Linked DNA regions of Yarrowia lipolytica. The protein of the gene in region 1 interacts with the protein of each later gene in a pairwise test. Links are inferred from orthologs where the notes say so. Each region holds a gene or a part of one and is shown in the gene's direction. Other genes may lie near its edges. The genes, in order: YALI1_C30119g, YALI1_E34525g, YALI1_B18955g and YALI1_F17709g.

Region 1 (5,848 bases):
TACTATGTGAACTAAACCATTGAAGGTACCAGTGGTTGAAAGGATGGCAGGGCGACTACAGATGTAGATGGCCCAACCCGATGCTTGTACTTGAAATACCCAAACTACGTAGGAACAAGTATGTAGCCGTTCGCAGGTCCATGTGGAATCACGGCTTTGCTCATCACAATCAGAATACAATAATTTATTCCCTCTAAACATACTGAGACAGCCATCGAATACCGTCTCCGTAGCCCTGCCGCATGACAATGGAGCACATGAAAATCTCGATGGGTCGGATGTTGCCTTCAAGAGGCACCTTGCCCTTACCGGTGGTCTGGTACAGTCCAAGGGCGTCCTTGAGCTCGAGCTCGGAAACGGCCTGGGGCATGTCGATCTTGTTTCCAAGAATCAAGAAGGGCACAGTCTTGAGCTGCTCAATGGCAAGCAGAGAGTCGAGCTCGGCCTTGGACTCGGCGAATCGAGTAGGGTCGGCGGCATCGACGAGGAAAACAATGCCGTTGACCTCGGGAAAGTAGTCCTTCCACACTCGTCGGGCCTGGATATGTCCACCGAGATCAAAGGTTGTGAATTTACAGTTGCCGATGGACAACTCCTCGGAGGTGGGGTGCACGGTGGGGTTAGAGACGGCCATTCGGTCGTTCTTGAGCATGTGCAGCAGGGTGGTCTTTCCGGCGTTATCGAGACCGAGGAAGAGCAGCTTGGCGTTCTTGTTCCATAGTCCGAGAGAGGACAGAACGTCGTAGACTAGGTTAGCAAAAGGGGGGCAAATCAAAAAGCGAGTGAAGCGAAATTGAGCGGCGATACGATAGCAGACTTGCTGTTTAAGCAGTACAATAACGGCACAGAGAGTTTGCTTGTGTTGAATACCACCGTATGACTGTTTAGGGTATAACAGCAGAGCAACCGTGTATCTTCAGGGGGTTGAGCAACCCTGAACGGCATCAAACCGCAACTTGATGAATGCAACAGGGGCAAAAAACGGCATCGGTACCTGTTTTTGAGTCTCTGGAACAGCCCTAAGTCGCCAGTCTCTGTTAACTGTGTTTTCACCTCCGGGATTTCAAGTCACGAAGCCCCCGTGTCGCTGTAGAGCTTGTCGTGTATCGTGTATCGCCACTTGATCTGATTTCTTTTTTTCCGCTAGCCTCCGCGTCTGTGTAACAAGTACACAAACACAAGCGACCAATCAGTGCCCCTGTATTCCATCCATACTCACACCAGTTGACAATCCACATGATTAGTAGTTGAAGAAGTAGGACAACGTGTGATGATAAGTTGGTGAGTGAGGTGGAATGTAGCAAAAAGGTTAAGCCGGCGGCTTCACGTGCATCCGACTGAGTCCAGGGTGGGGCTGACGCTTTGGTACTGGTATAGGAGGTGTTTGGGAGCAATAGAAGGTGCTGCAAAAGAGTATATATACTGTCCGTTTTTCCTCACATACAATTCTCTTCCTTTTTATCTCCACGCTTATCCTCTACAATCTCCCGTCATTGTGCAATCTCCTACCGATATGAATTTTGGCTGACACGTAAAACGGAAGCCAAAATCGTGCAGCACCAAGGTAAAAACCGTGGTCCTTTGGGGGTGTTGGGACATTACGTGTACATATTGTGGTGTGAGATCAATAGGCGAGCACGAGTACACTGTACATCAGGTGTGTGTGTAGACGTAATTGGTGCCAAAAGTTGTGGGACTTGGAAGTATTTATCTTGAGAGAGAACTGGAACATTCAGAGCAAGCTTCCTATTGTCCATTTATCATCTCTATTATACAATATTGTGTCCCCCGGAGATGTTTCTTTGAGCAGAGCATTTCCCAGCGCCATCACTCCTCCTACTTACCCTACCGAACACTACAAGTACACGTATGAAACTCTCTATTGCACTCTGCGTAGCACTACACCATGAAGCTCGAAATCAAGGTGAGTAATTGAGCGATTCACGCGGCCATGACGACGACTAACACAGCGACACTCGCAGACTCGTTCTGACCGAGTCAAGGGAATCGATTTCCACCCCACTGAGCCATGGTTACTCACCACTCTGTACTCGGGAGTGGCCCAGATCTGGAACTACGAGACACAGACGGTGGTCAAGAGCATCGAGGTGGCAGATGTTCCTCTTCGAGCCGGTCGGTTCATTGCCCGAAAAAACTGGATCATTGTTGGCTCCGACGACTTTATTGTGCGAGTCTTCAACTACAACACTGGAGCCAAGGAGGCCCAGTTTGAGGCCCACCCCGACTACATCCGTGTCATCACCGTTCATCCCACCCTGCCCTACGTGCTGACCGCCGGCGACGACATGTCCATCCGGCTGTGGAACTGGGACACAAACTGGACCATGGAGCGACAGTACCTGGGCCACAGCCACTACATCATGTACGTGGCCTTCAACCCCAAGGACACAAACACATTTGCCTCCGCATGTCTGGATCGAACCGTCAAGGTGTGGTCTCTGTCGGGCGCCTCCACCGTGTCGCGGCCCAACTTCACCCTCGAGGCCCATGCCACCGCCGGCGTCAACTTCGTCGAATACTATCCCGGTGCTGACAAGCCCTACCTCATCACATCTTCGGACGATAAGACCGTCAAGGTGTGGGACTACCAGACCAAGGCCTGCGTCGCCACCATGGAGGGCCACACTAACAACGTGTCCTTCGCTGTCTTCCATCCCGATCTGCCCGTCATCATCTCTGGTGCCGAGGACAATACCGTCAAGGTGTGGAACGCTAACACCTACCAGCTCGAGCAGACCCTCAACTACAGCTATGAGCGAGCCTGGTGTGTGGGTGTCAAGCGAGGCTCCAACCTCGTGGCTGTCGGTTTTGATGCCGGCGCGGTTGTCCTCCGTCTTGGTAAGGAGGACCCTGCCATCTCTCTGGACAGCTCTGGAAAGCTGGTGTGGAGCAAGCACGGAGAAGTCTATTCCGCTCAGGTTAAGGGCGAGGACGCCAAGGACGGCGAATCCCTTGCTCTGGTGCCCAAGGAGCTGGGATCCGTCGAGGTTTTCCCCACCTTCCTGCGACACTCCCCCAACGGCCGATTTGTGGCTGTTGTTGGTGACGGTGAGTACATCATCTACACCGCTCTGGCATGGCGAAACAAGGCTTACGGCTCCGGTCTGGACTTTGTTTGGGCCCAGGACTCCAGCGAGTACGCTGTGCTTGAGTCCCCCAGCTCCGTGCGAGTCTACAAGAACTTCAAGGAGCGGCCATTGGGCCATGTAGACCCCAATTTTTCCGTTGAGGGCATCTTCGGTGGTACCCTGCTCGGTGTGAAGGGTCATGGCTTTGTCGCCATGTACTCGTGGGAGACTGGCCAGCTGGTGCGACGAATTGACGTGGAGGGTGTCACCGGCGTGCACTGGTCTGACTCTGGCGAGCTGGTCGCCATCACCTCGGCCGACGCCTTCTACGTTCTGCGATACAACAAGGACGCGGTTGATGAGGCCGAGAACGTGGACGAGGACGGTGTGGAGGAGTCGTTTGAGCTGCTGCACGAAATTTCCGACTCCGTTCGGTCCGGAGAGTGGCTGCTCGACTGCTTCGTCTACACCTCGTCCGTCAACCGACTCAACTACCTGGTTGGCGGCGTCACATACACAGTCGCACATTTCGATAAGGCCAAGTACCTGCTTGGCTTTGTGTCCAAGGACTCGCGTATCTACCTGTGTGACAAGGATGTCAATGTGTCGTCGTACCGATTGTCTGTGCCTCTCGTTGAATACCAGACTGTTGTTCTGCGAGGCGACGTCGAGCTTGCGCAGTCGGACTTCCTCCCTGCAATCCCTGAGGAGGAGCTGTCTAAGGTGGCCAAGTTCCTGGAGGCCCAGGGCTTCAAGGAGCTTGCTTTGGAGGTGAGCACCGACGACGAGCACAAGTTTGATCTTGCCCTTGCACTTAACGACCTGTCCGTGGCCTCTGAGATTGCTGAGCGATCGCCTCAAGACCACCGATGGAAGCTGCTTGGAGACGCTGCCACTGCCGCCTGGAACTTCGACCTGGCCGAGAAGTGTTTCAAGTCTTCTTCCATCGCCGAGGTCGAGTCTCTGCTGCTGCTGTACTCGGCCACCGGAAACCGAGCCGGCATGGAGTGGGTGGCTGACAAGGCTGCCGATGCTGGCAAGTACAACGTTGCCTTCAACGCCCTGTGGTCCATCGGTGCCGTGAAGCAGTGTGTTGATCTGCTTAACAAGACTGGTCGACACTCGGAGGCTGCTCTCGTTGCTCTGTCGTACGGAAAGGGTAACGTGGAGAAGTCTGTAGGTCAGTGGAAGGCTTCCCTGGTCGCCAACGGTAAGGACAAGATTGCCGAGTCCATTTCTTCCCCCAGTGAAGAACCCGACAAGTTCCCTCAGGGCAACCTGATTGATTTTGAGGAGAAGCCCGCTGAGAAGGCTGCCGAACCCAAGCTGGGAGCTCCTGTCGAGATCAAGGAGGACGGCAAGGTCGAGGCCGTGACTAACGTGCAACCCGAGAAGCCCAACCCCGCGGCTGTGGATGAGTTATCCGAGACCGAGGCTGAGGCTGAGGTTGAGGTTGAGGTCAAGATGCAGGAGGAGGTTGATGAGGCTGCCAACACCTTGTAAGAGGGAATGCTAGAGGTGGACGTAGAAATAGGTCATGTTAAATAAATATCATTGTATAAGTAGATTGAGAGCATGGCACGAGCTGTTGCGGAGTACACCGTGGAAGTGGTGAGTTACATATTGTACATATTGTAGGAAGTATCCAGTGTACTTGTACTTGTACAGTATTGCACAGTGATTAAGTATCCAGGGGGGATATCCAGCTCCTTGTCCAGCTCGAGGTCGAAGAGTTTACTCTAAAACTACAGTATTTTTAGTTTAACTCCCAACAGTTTACTTGGATATCATGTCACGTTAAAGTGTGTAGAAGAGGTATGAATAGTCCAGTTGTCGAGATGGTGTAGAGAAATGGTTTGAGATGGTTGTTTTTGAATGTAGCAGTAATTTATATCATGTGACTGTTTGATCGTGCCTTTGTTTGTTATCACGCTGAGTAGATCTCTTTCAATGGTCTCATCGCTTACTAAACAAAGTTCCAAAGTCAGGGTTAGGAGGGCGTCCCTCCCACCAATCAAAATTTGGGTAACTCGGCTTGCAGTGACATCACAGCTTCTAACACACAACCAGACACACGACAAAATGGCTATTCCTTTTGAGGCATTGCTCCCTTACGGTATCATTTTTGGTGTAAGTATGAGACGGCGGCTTTGTGGCTCGAGCTATGGCTTTGGACTTGTGATTTGACCGGACAGGAGGTACACTACAAGACGACAGTTACAGGAGTGAATGCAGAAATTCTGGAGAGCGATTCGATACGAGAGTGGAGGTGCCACATTCCCTGGACGATTGATGAACGATGCTTGTGATACCAGCTATACCGGACCACTCCATTACTGTGGAAGGGAAGCTACAGTAAGTCTCTGACGTACAATGACTTTGACATGGTATTCCCAGCCGGCAGGGGATATGTCTGTATCACGCAGAATCCTTTGGAATCAGATCTCACATGTCTTCGCTTTTCCCTATTCTCTCAGACTGTTGTTTATTGCCTCGGAGTAGTTCGATCCCGTCAAGGTCGCGAGGCACACGACCACAACCCCCATTCATAGACTAACTCAGCTCCTCACCGCTGGAGGTGGAGCCATGCAGGTTCTCCACGTCTACCGAAACGGAGGCGTCCGAGACCGATTCGCCATTGACCAGTGGGACTCCCAGATGATGGAGCGAGATCTGCGACTCAACGGCGGCCAGGGCCGAAAGCAGGTCGACCAGGCCACTGCCCCCGAGGCCTTCAAGCACAACCACGTGTGGAAGTC
Region 2 (6,173 bases), on another chromosome or scaffold:
GTTGGAGCAATCGACTCGGCCGTGCCTTGTGCTCTCATGCTGTACACTATCAAGGCGATCGACGAGGCTATTACCCGAAAGTGGAAGGAAATGAAGGCCGAGCCCGACCGGTTCTCCGAGCACGAAAAGACCACTGGTATACAGTTTCTGTTCTTCGACGGAGAGGAGGCATTCCACAGCTGGTCAGACACAGACTCCACCTATGGATCTCGACATCTTGCCCAGCTGATGGACCAGACTTACAACGAGGTGAACTCGGCCCGGCAGACCTGGCTGGCTGAGATGGAGTACCTGGTGCTTCTGGATCTGATCGGACACAAGGATACATACATCCCTTCATTCTTCAGAAACACTCACTGGCAGTACGAGGTGTTTGCTTCTCTGGAGCAGCGAATCCGGGATATCGGTCTAAGTGCACGTATGGATGAGAAGGAGACCATCTTCACCGAGGGAAAGCCCGCATTCTTTCGAGGAGCTGTTATTGGTGATGACCACCTCCCCTTTCTGCACCGAGGAGTGCCTGTTCTGCATTTGATCCCCAGCCATTTCCCCCCTGTCTGGCACAAGATTGACGACAACGCCAAGAATCTTCACTTTCCTGACATTTCCGAGTGGGGTCTATTGACGAGTAGTTTCGTCGCCAACCAGCTGCGAGTTGGAGACTGGATCGTGGACTATCCTGACGCCAACGAGATGCGAGAGCAGCGAGAGAAGGAGGAGAAGGCGCAGCGAGAACAGGCGCAAAAGAAGAAGATTCCCAACGGCAAGAAGGTCCCTCGAGCTGCTCGCCGACGAGGTGCTATGCTTTAGGAGACTGGGATTGAAGATGTATGTATTGATGCCTTGCAACAGATAGTACGTACCATGGATGAATGATATACCATTACATTAAATGAGAATGTGACTCGGAGCACTGTTTAAACAACTACCCAGCACCTATATAAACAATGCAGACATGCTCTATAAATGATATTAGTCTATGTGCTGTACAGTGTTAGTATGAAATGTGTAGTCGGTGCAAGGTGTAGTCGGTGAAGTGTGTAGATGTGTGTAGAAGGTGGTAATTGCAGCTTGAAATAACCTCGTTCACCTGCTGGTAGGATCAACTTTGGCGTGTTTGAAGAATTTGAGACCCATCCAACTGACGATACACCAGACCCAAGCCATGACGAGGGACAGGAAGAAGGACGTTGGATAGTACATTCTGATGGGGAAGTCGTCGTCATCATCAGGAGCCTTGTGCATATTTTTGCGGTCTGTCTTCGATCCAAACAAGTAGATATCTAGATCAAACATCGTGAAGACTGCGAAGAAGATCAGAGACCATGTTGTGATGAGTAGGATCCATCCCCAAGATGCGATTTCGCTGTATTCGGTGAGTTTTCGTTGTGTGCGGTTGAGAGACACCAGAGACCCGGGATGGTAGGCCACAGGCACGTGGTGCGATGCAGATCGAGGTCGTTTGGCCATGGTTCGGGACCTCAGCTGATATCACGTTACGTGAATAGTTGGCGCATACAGATGTCTAAGTTCAGGCTCCTTGGGAGATATTTGTTGATTAAAGTACGAGCAGTACTGTGGGTTGGAGGGTTTGGACCAGAACGATGTGTTTCCTGTTTTCGGTTAGAATGATGACGAGAGTAGTCGGAATTGAATACGGAAAAGTTGAATAAAAGTGTACTGTAGAGCAATGTTAGTAATCCCAATCGACTATCAATATCCCCATATTGCAGTATATATAGACCCTTTAGCACCTCTGAGTAAGGTTCCGCGTTAATGGAATGGCGTTACGTTATTATGGAGATAGAGAGGCTGGAGACTCAGAAGTAGCGGCCGTTAAGCGAACCCATGACGTCGCTACAAGTAGCAGGAAATGAGGATATTTAAAGGGGTTGATCTAAGAATATCGGAGGGCAGATTGAGCACGTTGAAAAGATCTTTCTCCTCCATCTCAAACACCATATTTCCTACAGTATACAGTTATTCGACTATGTGTGGAAGCCTTGAATTGTAATTCAATGTGTTTTTAGTTTTGGTCAAACAATGTCAGCAGACTCTGGTCGAGAGGCTGTAGTTATGGGAACTGCGCTTCTTCTATACAAGTATGTAAACGGCTGAAAGTGCATCAGAGTTGGAGGTTGCCTCCAAAGTAGCCCACCACTCTGTAAATAATCACTCAGCTCTTTCCATATTGGCTGGTGGTGTCGGAGCGCCTGTCTATCTTATGGTGTTTTGTTATTAATCCGGCGTTCGTGAAACTCGAACTGGGACGCCATACTTGTTATAGTACTTATAACAGCTACAAGTAGTTAGACTGGTAAGGTGGTAACCAACTTTCGTACTCGGGGCCCACGGTGTGACTCTCCTGTGTTGCAATAAATAAGTAAAAGCCACATACAGTACCTATAGCCACGGCTCCGGCGAGCAATACTGTAATCCACTTAGTCGAAGCCAGGCATTAATGCAAATCCAATTGTTCTTAGACGTTCTCTGATCTGCTGTTACTTATAACGCTAGACTTGCACTATTTGTCTTGTCCCAACTCCCATTCTTCACTCTCCCAACATCACTAAGACCGCATCGTCCTGCATCCACGTGATACGACCACGTACATCTCACACTCTCTTGTCGCAACCCAATTCCCCTCATGTTCGGTTTTGGCAAAAAGGACAATCAGAATCCATACCGGGTTCCTGAACAACACTCTCCTACTCACTCCGGATCCAATTCCCCCCGAACAATGAACAACCCTGGTCTTCCTAGACGGGCACCTACTCAGGGACAGCCCATGCCTCCTCATCACCAGACCCCTCCTCCTCAGCAGCACAGACAACCTCCTTCCGGTCACGGTGGCGATATGATTCTGGGAGTGGGCAAGGACAAGGCGTTTGCCCTGGCCAACCTCCTCGAAGTGCCCCCTGGAACCTTTGCTGACGGAGACTACGTCATTATCAACAACCAGCACGTCTTCACCGTGCGACAGTCGCCACATGCTGCTCCCGGCCAGATCCTTGCCGGAGCAGTGCAGCGACGATGGGCAGCTCTCAGCACAAACATGACTGTCCATGTGGCACCTTACGACCCCTTCCACAAGACACAGCAGGTGTATCTGGGCAACCTGGAGCTGGAAATCGACTTCCTGTCTGCCAGTGCGGCCAGCGGAGCTGGATCCCGATCCTTTGAGCCCGAAAAGCTCGCTCACCACTTCCTGCACCAGTACGCTAACCAGATCTTCACCCCTGGACAGACCCTGGCTATGGACTTCGAGGGCCTCAATTTCCAGATCAGAGTGCTCTCTACCTCGGTGGTCAATCTGGGAGACGCTGGCGGAGTGGCTGCCCGAAACGTCCGAGGTATTCTCGTTCGACACACCGATATCGGTTTCAACAAGGCCAAGGGATCGGCCATGAACCTCAAGAGCGCCAAGAACAAACCCCGACAGAACGCTATCATTCAGCCCGACTTCAAATTCCAGGATCTCGGTATTGGTGGTCTTGATGCCCAGTTTGGTAACATCTTCCGACGAGCCTTCGCTTCTCGAATCTACTCTCCTGCCGATGTCGAGGCCCTTGGTATCAACCACGTGAAGGGTATCTTGTTGTTCGGACCTCCCGGTACAGGTAAGACTCTAATCGCCCGACAAATTGGTAAGATGCTCAACGCTCGAGAACCCAAGATTGTCAACGGTCCCGAAATCCTAAACAAGTACGTTGGTGCTTCCGAAGAGAACATTCGAAACTTGTTCAAGGACGCCGAGGCGGAGTACCGAGAGAAGGGCGATGACTCCGGTCTTCACATCATCATTTTCGATGAGTTGGATGCTGTCTTCAAACAGCGAGGCTCCACCGGTGGAGGTACCGGTGTTGGAGACAACGTCGTCAACCAGCTGCTCGCTAAGATGGACGGTGTGGAGCAGCTCAATAACATTCTGGTTATCGGTATGACCAACCGAAAGGATCTGATTGATTCTGCTCTGATGCGACCTGGTCGATTCGAGGTCCAGATTGAGATTCCCCTTCCTGATGAGGCTGGCCGTCTGCAAATTCTCAAGATTCACACCGCGCCTATGACTGCTGCAGGAAAGTTGGGCAGAGATGTGGATCTTAACGAGCTTGCTGGAGAGACTAAGAACTACTCTGGTGCCGAAATTAAGGGTCTGCTTAACTCTGCTGCTTCTTATGCATTCACTCGAAACCTCAAGTTGGACCAAGGTGGAGGAGGCGTGCGACAGGAGAAGGGCGGAGAGCTCATGCTAATGCGGGACGACTTTGTGCATGCCCTCCAGGAAGTGCGTCCCGCGTTTGGTGTCTCCGAAGAGGATCTCGATGCTGCCGTCTCTGGTGGTATCATCAAGTACTCTCCCAACATTGATGACATTCTCAAGAAGGGAGAGCTATTTATTGAGCGAGTTCGACAGTCTTCTGGCGACCGTGCTCTGGCTTCTCTGCTGCTTCACGGCCCTGCTGGCTCTGGTAAGACTGCTCTCGCAGCTTCCATTGCCATGCAGTCGAACTTCCCCTTCGTGCGACTCATCTCTCCCGAAGGCTATGTTGGTATGTCCGAGGCATCTAAGATCACTGCCATTCAGAACTGTTTCCTGGATGCTTACAAGTCTCCTCTGTCCGTCATTGTGATTGACTCTATTGAGATCATTCTCGAGTGGGTCCAGATTGGACCCCGGTTCTCAAACTCTCTGCTGCAGGCCGTCAAGACTCTGTGTCGAAAGACTCCTCCCAAGGGCTGCCGATTGCTAATTCTGGTTACTACTCATGAGCGACACGTTCTTGAGCAGATGGATCTGATTTCCGCGTTTGACTCCGAGATTGGCGTACCTTACCTACAGTCTCTCAAGGAGCTCAACAAGGTACTGGACGCTATGCAGTTCTTGGACTCTCCCGAGGCTCGACACCGGGTTGTACAGTCCATCGAGGCCAAGACTGGATCTACCGTGCCTTCCATTGGTATCAAGACTCTGCTGTCTGGTCTCAAGACTGCCCAGTACTCTTCAGATGTTGAGGAGGAGTTTGTCGATTTTATGGTTGACCATATAAACGCCCGACGAAACAAGTATGTTTAACGAATCACGATTAGAATAGAATACATGAGATTGAAATGATGGGACAATGGCAGAGCGGAACGGATGCGCAAAACAAACTATCATGAACCAGTGATGGACACAAAACAACTGGTAGCAACCTGGGCAGTGTAGTGCAACAGGACGCGAGTGAACATGTAGGACGAGTTGCATTCACACGCATGCCATAGTTAACCACCGTAGCATTTTCAGCCCACACACGAGCTAACAGGTATCCCAAAACAGCTGTTAGGCGAAATAATAATTATCGTTGAGGGCAGAAACCAAATTAGCGACTACAAGTAGCACTCCGTAGGGTCTTCTGGGAAACAAGTGCAGTGACAGGGCTACTACGGTAGGTACAGTACACATCCTTTAGACTGGCACTATTCAAGCGGATATAACTGCACTTAAAGCACTTTGAGCGAAGTGGTGGTCTTATCGCCGTACAACACAGTATAGTACAGTATACAACCGTAGCGTACCTTGTGCATGTCTTCACTACAAGTAGATACTTACTCGTACTGGGCAATGGTATTTGGCCATCTGACGTCATGTTGGTCCCAGTCTTGTATTGTACTTCACATGCCATTGACTCAGTGACAGTTGCTCGTCTTCTTTGTATGTGAAGAGACTAGCAGTGACATAATATAACCCACATTCTTTTGGTTTAGATCATCTCTAGGGAAACAAAAATGGAAGGAGCTGCCCTAGCCGGTGTAGCGAGATCGTCATCACTGGAACCCCCCAAAATACCACCTCGTAAATAAAATTAAAGGTGGTAGGAGTTGGTTGCAGGGGAACATGAGTTCGGAATTTTCGGAGATTTTTGCAGTTACATTGAGCGTGGTATTGGATTGGGGTAGTAGCTCTTAGCTTGTAGTTGTTGCATGCTTTAGCGTGGACTTCAATCACCGAGTCTAACAGTCGCCGGACTGATTGTTCACCGACCTCCTGTACCTCGATCGGGTTGGGTAGGTTTCAGCGAGGGGGTGGTAGGGTGTGAAAAGCAAAAAGCTATGGGAGGGCGTTCTAGGATAGTACATGTAATTATAGATACTGTGTGGTTTTCTGCAATCGTGAACGTGTTTTATACGTC
Region 3 (4,506 bases), on another chromosome or scaffold:
GGCGACTTTCCCTTTTTCCCAATTGCGTACACACACAGCTCCGAGCTAAGCGCTGTCCTTGAACCTTCTCCCTCTTTTCCCTCTTTTTCTCTTCCCCTTCCCCTCCTCCACATTAAGGCCAAATCCTGAATTGCACCAACTAGTACAACGACAACAATGTCTTCTGAGGTAAATATTGAGCGATTGCCACGGCAAACCACGACTGGAAACCACCAAATCCATCTCTGCGATGCGCCATCTGCCCTCGTGGCCTCTTTTCTCCCGCTTCAACTCCCCAAACACACCACACGTCTGTGACATTGCTGCGCCCCTCACACGCGACAAATCGAAGGTCAATCTCGCCCAATCGCACATCCATCACACATCCAAGGTCTCCGCCGTCATCCATTCTCCAGGTGCCCTTTAATTCCCCTCTCGCCGCCACCTGCCACGCTGTTTTTTGCATGTGCCTCCCTATTCTGCCCAGTTTTGGGCTGTCGTGTTCATTGCGTTTGTGTTTGCATATGTGTGCCCCATGTGTTTTGCCACGACATCACAACCGCAGAACCGCAAACGGATGATGCGGATGATGTGATGGATTGATTCAATTGCGATGGCCGTTTGCAACCAGCATTGTGTGGTGGGTTTATTCCCCCACACCGAGTAGCTACGAAGATGACTAGATGATGATGATGGTGTGTGACGACGACTGCAACAACCCAGCGAGAAAAGAAGCGGTCACGACGAGCCGATGAGAAACGCAGATGATAACGTTTTGGTGATGAATCCATCATATATCGTGTGAGTACACCCCTCATCAACACAGATACTAACCATTAGAGAGAAACCAAGACCTTCCTTGCCCGGCTCTGTGAGCAGGCTGACCGATACGACGAGATGGTCAACTACATGAAGGACGTCGCTAAGTCCGGTGAGGAGCTTACTGTCGACGAGCGAAATCTGCTTTCCGTCGCTTACAAGAACGTTATCGGCGCTCGACGAGCCAGCTGGAGAGTCATTTTCCCCATAGAGCAGAAGGAGGAGGCCAAGGGTGCCACCCACCATCTCGAGCTTCTCAAGACCTACAGAGCCAAGATTGAGGCAGAGCTCGAAGACATCTGCAGCGATGTTCTTGATATCCTCACCAACCACCTCCTCCCCAAGGCCGAGAACGCCGAGTCTAAGGTCTTCTACTACAAGATGAAGGGTGACTACCATCGATACCTTGCCGAGTTCACCTCCGGCGAGAAGCGAAAAGAGGCTGCCACTGCCGCTCACGAGTCATACAAGAGCGCCACTGATGTTGCCCAGACTGAGCTCAGCTCAACTCACCCCATCCGACTTGGTCTCGCTCTCAACTTCTCCGTCTTCTACTACGAGATTCTCAACTCGCCAGACCGTGCTTGCCACCTTGCCAAGCAGGCTTTCGATGATGCCATCGCTGAGCTCGACACTCTCTCCGAGGAGTCTTTCCGAGACTCTACCGTCATTATGCAGCTTCTGCGAGACAACCTGACCCTCTGGAAGAACGACCTCGAAGAGTCTCTGCAAGCCCAGCAGTCTGAGGAGACCCCTGCCACCGATGCTGCCGCTGCTTCCACCGAGGCTGCTGCCCCCAAGGAGGAGGCCAAGCCCGCTGCTGAGGAGCCCAAGGAGTAGAGTAGTGCTTTAATTTTTATGTAAAAACAATTAAGAGTGTGATGGAAAGGTTCGTATAGCTATAATGAGGCTCCCTCACAACACATGCTTGCAAAAGAATTCGTGTATGTCGTATTGTATTTTGAGGTGTTTTAATCAAATGATGAGTCATACTGGTGAAACAAAAAGACATGAAGCCTCAAACGTAGTGTTTCAGGCGTCTCTTCATACAGTGAGTTTCAAGATGATGATTTGACTGTAGTTGGCTAATTGTATTGTTATTACTGTTTAAGATGGACCACTTCTACATACAAATAGTCACCAAAGCGTTAAGTGCGCGGATGTCGTCCGCACATGTGCACACGCAACACTGCAGCTAAGTTCGGAGGAGTGTATTTTTGGAACTCTGTCGATTAGTGCCTAGATATACCGTACATGTGTAAACGAAATCATGTGAGCCGATATATCCCCGCTGAGTCTAGTCCTAAGCGGATTTGGTTGAGTCTACAAGTACTCGTAGGAGTAGTGACTGCTCTTGTGTGTCGGGGGTATGATAGTGGTCGGGTAATCTGCTGCTGCACAGTCATATCGAGTTTGGATAAGTGGACTCATCGTATCGTAGTTGCTTGTACTCGTGAGTGAGAACGATGTACAAGGAGTCGCAAGCTCGACAAGACAGCGAGCACTTTAACAATGTACGATTGGGCAAATAGAGGAGGTTTGATGGGTATAGACTTGGGTCTAGTTGATGGCATGGCTTATCTAGATCCTGAGGCGTAATTTTCTACTCTAATTAGTCATGAATTTTGCTGTTTGATGGGTACTCACACATGTACTTGTACTTATCTTGTAGTCAACTCAGGCCTTGTTACTGTAACACTTGTGGGGTGATAGAGTTCGGCTCTCTTCGGGACACTGTGCAGTGAGAATACAACATACGTGCAGTTTGTCCACCAAACTTCACCTTTCTACAACGAATTGCAAATCAACAATGGGTGTGGATATTCAACTTAAGGACGGCTACACAATCTGTTTCCTCGGCTGCGGTACCATGGGTACTGCCGTGCTAGGAGCTGTGCTCGATTCTCTAAGCAAGGGTAACAAGGAGGGTGACGCCCCGAAGCCCGGCAAGTTCATGGCCTGTGTGACCCGACAGGAGTCCGCTGACCGATTGCACAAGGATCTGACCTCCTCTGCCCCTGACATTCCCGTCGAGATTCTTATCAATGACAACGGATCTGCCTACAAGGCTGATGTGTTTGTTCTCGGATCCAAGCCCTACATGGCCGAGAAGATCCTGACTCCTCTGCAGCAAATGCTGGAGGGCAAGGTTCTGGTTTCGCTGCTTGCCGGAAAGACCATTGCCGACATTGAGAGCTACTCTGGCCGATGCCCCAAGCCTTTGGTTGTTCGAGCCATGACCAACACTCCTTCTCGAATCGGAGCCGGTATGACCGTTCTGTCGTTCCCCGATAACGCTACCGTTGACGAGAGCGTTGTCAACGCTGTGTCCTGGATCTTTGAGCAGACCGGAAAGTGCATCACCCTCGAGGAGAAGCAAATGGACGTCTCCACTGCTTTGTGTGGATCTTCCCCTGCTTTCTGCTTCCTCATTATCGAGGCTCTGGCCGATGGTGCTGTTCGAATGGGCATGCCCTACAACACTGCCTTCCAGTGTGCAGCTCAGTCCATGCTGGGAGCTGCCAAGATGGTTGTTGAGTCTGGCCAGCACCCTGCCGTCCTCAAGAGCGCTGTGTGCACTCCTGGCGGAACCACTATTGGAGGACTGCTTGCTCTGGAGGACAAGGGCGTTCGATCTTCCGTTGCTCGAGCCGTGGAGGAGTCCACTAACATCGCTAAGTCTCTTGGTGGCGGTGCTGCTAAGAAATAAGTTGTTCTTGGAGCTGGGCTAGTTTTGCCTCGAGGTCCATGTTGGTTCCCAATGTGGTGACTTTTGCGCACTCAGGAGTGATCATGAGCATGTCGAGTACCTTTTCAGGTTCATTCAGAGTAATCTGGGTTAGCAAGGGGACGGATCAAACTGTCGAACGGCATATATATAAGAAGAGAAAATAATGGAAATTCTACCTGATGATTGTCAAGACCAATAAGAAATACTCACTTTAGCTCCAATGATGTCCCGACGGTGCAGTTGAGCAACACGTACCCGCTCGATGGCGTAGACAAGCTGCTGGTTAGAGTCAGACAGAGTCAGCTTCAGGGAGCCCTGCCACAATGGTGTCAGTTTCTTCTGAACGTCTGCTCTTAGCTCATCGTTGTTGACCTGTGGTGCCGCAGCTTGTGCTGGACCCTCGGCCTCGTCATCGCCATTATCTTCCAGCTGCACCACGCGATTCGCTGAAGCTTGGATCTCTTGTTCCAACCACTCCATCTGCCGAATAAGAGACTGCGACACGTTTCTAATGTCGACCACGGTGTAGTCTTGAGCTGTAGCCAGTCTTGCCAGTCGCGCCATATCTTTTTTTTGTTTTTTTTCCGCCGTTTTTAGATGAGGCCGTCGGGTCAAGCTATTGCGACTGATTTTATGCGTGGCCCATTTTAGGTGCACAACACCAATTTTTGTCCAGACAAGAGAAAGCAACGCCATTGAAGTTTAGAGCCACTGGAACAACGTTAATTTTGGTTTGGATACCAGTACAAGTACAGTACAAGTAGAAGGGAAAATTTAAAGGCGCCTAAACGCACATGTCTATGCATTGTTCTGAAGCAGTCCCGTAGCTGGGGGAATGGTAAGCGGCGACAGAAGAGCCCTCGTCAACGTGCTTATACTCTGTGAACGACAATATTATGTAAGAGTCCCAAAGCATCCACAGTGGACATGTTGGTCGAAGAGCTTCAGGGATGCCGCGTGAGCTGAGACTCACATGT
Region 4 (4,284 bases), on another chromosome or scaffold:
GCGCTTTGTGGAGGACTGTATTGATGTGATGAAGACTCAGGACATGACCATTGAAGGTGTCTTCCGTAAGAACGGTAACATCCGACGGCTCAAGGTTGTGACGGAGGAGGTGAATAAGAGCGCCACCAAGACGTCTGATTTCGCCAAGGAGAACTCTGTGCAGAATGCTGCTTTGTTCAAGAAGTTTCTGCGAGAGATGCCCAATCCTCTCTTTACCTTTAAGCTGCACAAGCTGTGGATTTCGTCCCAGAAGATCGAGGATGCCACAACTCGAAAGCGAGTGCTTCATTTGGCTGTATGTCTGCTTCCCAGGTCTCACAGAGACGTGACCGAAGTGCTACTCCACTTTCTCAAGTGGGTAGCCTCCTTTTCTCACATTGACGAAGAGAGCGGTAGCAAGATGGACGCTCATAACCTCGCCACCGTCATCACTCCGAACATTCTCTATCCCAAGCCCACCGGAAAAGACCATGGTCCTGGAAGTGCCGGTACTCCTGGCTCTGCTGATTCAGCCGCTGCCGCTGCTGCCGCCGCCGCTGCTGCTGCTGCTGCTGCTTCTGCTGGAGGTGGAGGTGATGGCTACTTTCTGGCCATCGAGGCTATTCATACTCTCATTGAGCACCATGAACTGTTCTCTGAGGTGCCTGCCGATCTTCTAGAGGTGCTCAAGGAGACCAATCTGCGAGCCGCGACTGCAGACATCACTACCAAGGAAATCATGACACGATATGACCAGATGATGGGCGACCCGGCTGCACGCGCGCGCATTGAGGCCATTCGAAAGCGCCAGAGCTCCGGGTTCCGCACGCCCTCCATGCAGGTCTCCCACCTCAACAATCTCACTACGCCGGCCATGGCTGGCGAGACCTCCGAGACTAACACCGGGGGTCTCCATCCTTCGGACGCAGCCGACTGCTCGGACCGTATGCACTCCATGGTGAGCACGTCGTCCGTCGGCGAGCAACGCCCTGTGCCTATTAGGATCAACACAGAAATGATCCAAAAGATGGCGTCACGACAGGAGCGTAACACTGCTATTGTTTAAGCAAGGTGGTCCAAGGATGTAACTATTTATGATAATGACTGTATATTAGTAATGAGCTTTTCAATTGTAGTAAAGGACTAGAGGGCTGGCTGAGGCCAACAAAGACCAACAGAAGTCATATTGGTTAGCATTGCCAGTGGGGCTACATATAAGTGTCCAATTGAACATCACAGGACAATAAAGGTTTTAACTGTTCTTTCACGCCAAGTAGGTAGTCTCCTGAGCCAGGAAAAGGTCCAGGGTTGTATATTAATGCTATAATACAAGGGGCAGGTGCCATGCAAAGTGGTGGGCGGAGCCAGGCGATACTTGTCCGTCACGACTTGGTCGTCTCCTGTCTCGATTCGAAAAACTCCTCCATACTGGGTCCTCCTGCAATCTTCAGGTCCAGCTTGTCTTCGAATGACGGTCCTAGCACGGTATCTTTGAAACGCGCTGGACCCACCATCTTGGTCTGTTTGTTGATGAGTCCCTGCAGCCACTCCACCTCTTCCTGGGGGGCGGCGTCCTCTTGTTTTTTCGCCGTGATGCCGTACGTGGACGGCGCCATTGCTGCTGCTGGCTGTGTAGCTTGGCCAGTGTTGTTTGCTACTCTGCTGATTCTCCGGGCCTCTGCTGGTCCAGGTCCCTTGGCCCACTTGACAAAGTCCTGCATGCCCTGGTCGCCCTGAGGATCGGTATCGTAGGGGTCGAGTAGCACCACTGGTTTGATGACATGTGTGTTTGCCATGGCTTGTGCCACGTCTGTGATGATGGCGTCAAATCGGCCTCCGTGATGCGCCAGATTCATCGTCTCCGTCGCCAGCAGATCGAGATGCCGAATGTACAGGTCTGTGATTGTGTCCAGCACCGAAGGCGGGCATCGTTCGATACCGGCCACTCGAAGCAGTTGCGCCACTGATATGCGGGCCAGAGCAAAGTAAAAGTCTGACATGGAGGAAGTGTGGGAGAGAGGAATGGATGTGTGTTGCAATCGTGTGCGTTGCTTTTGTGTGTGTGGTGTAGGATAGCTGCGTTTGTGTCCGCGTATGTGTCTGTGGCTGCGTTTGTGTCTGTATTTATGCGGATTGTGCGTGTGCCGCGTTTGTCGTCACTAGGTTGGTGTGTCTGTCTGTCTCCATCCCTTGTCACTAAGGTTTTAAACTGGAGATGGAGGTTGGGCATTTTAAACTTCGCTACGTGTAACATAACACCTAACTGCTCTCTAGAACGGCAGATCACGACACATTCACACAACCACACAGAATCATGACGTCGGAATACTCGGTAGAGGCAGTGCTGCTGCTGGACAAGGACGGAAAGCGACTCTTCACCAAGTACTACTCGCCCCCACACGGCGACGTGCAATCACACGAGCAGCTTCAGACCCTGACGACACTCAAGGACCAGCAGACGTTCGAAAAGGGCCTGGCGCAGAAAACCCATCGACAGAATGGTGACGTCATCATCTTCGACAACAAGGTGGTCGTGTACAAGACGGTTGTGGACGTGACTCTGTACGTGGTCGGATCGTTTGAGGAGAACGAGGTGATGCTGTACCAGCTGGTTGCCGGCATCAAGGACGCGCTGGAGATTCTGCTCAAGCACTCGTTCGACAAGCGGTCTGTGCTCGAACACTTTGACCTGGTGGCTCTGGCTATCGATGAGGCCGTCGACTCGGGCGTCATTCTCGAGATCGATCCCGTCGTCATCGCAAGTAGAGTCACCCCCGCACCCGCCAAGGAAAGCATTGCGTACGGAGGAGTGGAGATCAACGAACAAACCATCTCGAACGTGTACCAGAAGTGGTCGCAGCGAGCTGGCAAGTTTTTCAGCTAGATGGAGGATGTATATGGAGGTAATAAGATGGATTTTGTGCAACATGTAGCGCGACTGTGACCCAGCTGCTCGGTGAGGGCCATCTGCTTGCGTTGCAAGTACTGTACTATAGATAAATATTGTGTTTTTGTGTGTTTTGCAATCGTAATTGGTTCAATTGAATAGTCGTATTGAAGTGTTAGTCGATCCTCCAAGTGCTGTTACGCTTGATCAAATTGTAACTAAGACAGGCGACAGCTGTGAGCTGCGTACTTGTACTTGGACAATAGACCAAGTTTGCGGGTGTAAACATGATTGTACAGGCTCAATTGAACAGTATCGACCGCTTATTCATCACAATGACATTCAGCGGTGAACGTCTACAAGTACCGGCATATTGTGCTAACTAAATTCTTGAACCAAGAACCATTGAAGTTACAGGCGTTGTACTTGTACTCATACTTGCAAATAATCAATGCGATTTTGTGTCGGCTGTTCGCTGAAGGGTCGTCTCATTGAGTCAATGAGTTGCTGGTCATAATCTGTCGTTGAACAGAAAGTAAGTCCTGTGACAAACTGTCATCTATTGGACTTGTTGTAGCTAGAAATCATCTAAAATCTCGTTGTTTGTACCATTGAGGGCTACAAGTACAGTATCGTACCAAATGTCTTCCATCTACATCATCTTCATGGTCAATTACTACTATATGCAAACATGGTCTATCGCTTCTTTCTGCCTCGGTTCTTGGAGCCCTTGGTCTTAGACGAGGGGCCAGAACCTCCCTGGACACCGGGCATGACAAGTCGGACTCGACCAACAGCCACAGGTTGTACCAGCTCAGTGTCCTTGAGTCCTCCAATGATATCAATCTCGTTGGGCCAGGGCATGTCGGTGTCCTGCATGGTAGGGTCCGTCTTGGCGGTGGTCATCTTGTGGACGATTTCCTTGACGGCCTTGCCCTTTTTGACGGTTCCAGGCACCATTTTTGCCTTGAACTTGAACTTGGACAGAGCTGCCCAAGGGGCAAACATGGGGATGGCTCCGACGACAACATCGTTCTTTTGGGCTCGAGGAATGAACGAATCAAACTGCGTTCGGGACTCCTCCTCGTCCACGTCGTCATACTGCTCCACACCCTCTTCCTTGAGTAGTCTTCGAATCTCCTGGTTCTTGATTCGCTCCTGACGCTGGATTCGTTTTTCCTCCTCGATACGTTTCTTCTCAGCCAGCTCAGCAGCCTCCTGTTCAGCTCGCTCGGCACCCTTGGTGCTTCCAAGCAGGTCCATTCGCAGCTTTCGCTCCTCCTCGTCCTGGTCAGCATACTTCTTGGCAATCTTCTTGAGCTTGCCCTTCTTGCCTCGCACCTTAGCAGGAGGCTGTCCGGACGAGGCAGCGGACTGGGTAGTGTCGTTGAGTGCAGGAGTAGCGGATCGAGATACAG

The links.
Region 2: the proteins of YALI1_C30119g (region 1) and YALI1_E34525g interact in a protein complementation assay, tested with the Saccharomyces cerevisiae proteins (2 studies listed by BioGRID). The link is inferred for Yarrowia lipolytica from reciprocal best matches to the Saccharomyces cerevisiae genes SEC27 and SEC18.
Region 3: the proteins of YALI1_C30119g (region 1) and YALI1_B18955g interact in a protein complementation assay, tested with the Saccharomyces cerevisiae proteins (2 studies listed by BioGRID). The link is inferred for Yarrowia lipolytica from reciprocal best matches to the Saccharomyces cerevisiae genes SEC27 and PRO3.
Region 4: the proteins of YALI1_C30119g (region 1) and YALI1_F17709g interact in binary tests that used the Saccharomyces cerevisiae proteins (3 or more experiments, as listed by UniProt). The link is inferred for Yarrowia lipolytica from reciprocal best matches to the Saccharomyces cerevisiae genes SEC27 and RET3.

Annotation. Positions count from the first base shown.
Region 1 is NC_090772.1:3,008,455-3,014,302, reverse strand, and holds YALI1_C30119g (uncharacterized protein), read left to right. Parts: upstream 1-2,306; coding exon 2,307-4,592; downstream 4,593-5,848. Other genes in the region: YALI1_C30130g (uncharacterized protein), read right to left, coding at 194-747, 1,220-1,238; YALI1_C30086g (uncharacterized protein), read left to right, coding at 5,172-5,219, 5,652-5,848. UniProt on the Saccharomyces cerevisiae protein: The coatomer is a cytosolic protein complex that binds to dilysine motifs and reversibly associates with Golgi non-clathrin-coated vesicles, which further mediate biosynthetic protein transport from the ER, via the Golgi up to the trans Golgi network.
Region 2 is NC_090774.1:3,449,872-3,456,044, forward strand, and holds YALI1_E34525g (uncharacterized protein), read left to right. Parts: upstream 1-2,647; coding exon 2,648-5,077; downstream 5,078-6,173. Other genes in the region: YALI1_E34494g (uncharacterized protein), read left to right, coding at 1-810; YALI1_E34513g (uncharacterized protein), read right to left, coding at 1,087-1,470. UniProt on the Saccharomyces cerevisiae protein: Required for vesicle-mediated transport. Catalyzes the fusion of transport vesicles within the Golgi cisternae. Is also required for transport from the endoplasmic reticulum to the Golgi stack.
Region 3 is NC_090771.1:1,892,929-1,897,434, forward strand, and holds YALI1_B18955g (uncharacterized protein), read left to right. Parts: upstream 1-2,608; coding exon 2,609-3,508; downstream 3,509-4,506. Other genes in the region: YALI1_B18930g (uncharacterized protein), read left to right, coding at 157-168, 820-1,638; YALI1_B18971g (uncharacterized protein), read right to left, coding at 3,716-4,225.
Region 4 is NC_090775.1:1,768,672-1,772,955, forward strand, and holds YALI1_F17709g (uncharacterized protein), read left to right. Parts: upstream 1-2,293; coding exon 2,294-2,863; downstream 2,864-4,284. Other genes in the region: YALI1_F17657g (uncharacterized protein), read left to right, coding at 1-1,045; YALI1_F17706g (uncharacterized protein), read right to left, coding at 1,362-1,979; YALI1_F17756g (uncharacterized protein), read right to left, coding at 3,563-4,284. UniProt on the Saccharomyces cerevisiae protein: The coatomer is a cytosolic protein complex that binds to dilysine motifs and reversibly associates with Golgi non-clathrin-coated vesicles, which further mediate biosynthetic protein transport from the ER, via the Golgi up to the trans Golgi network.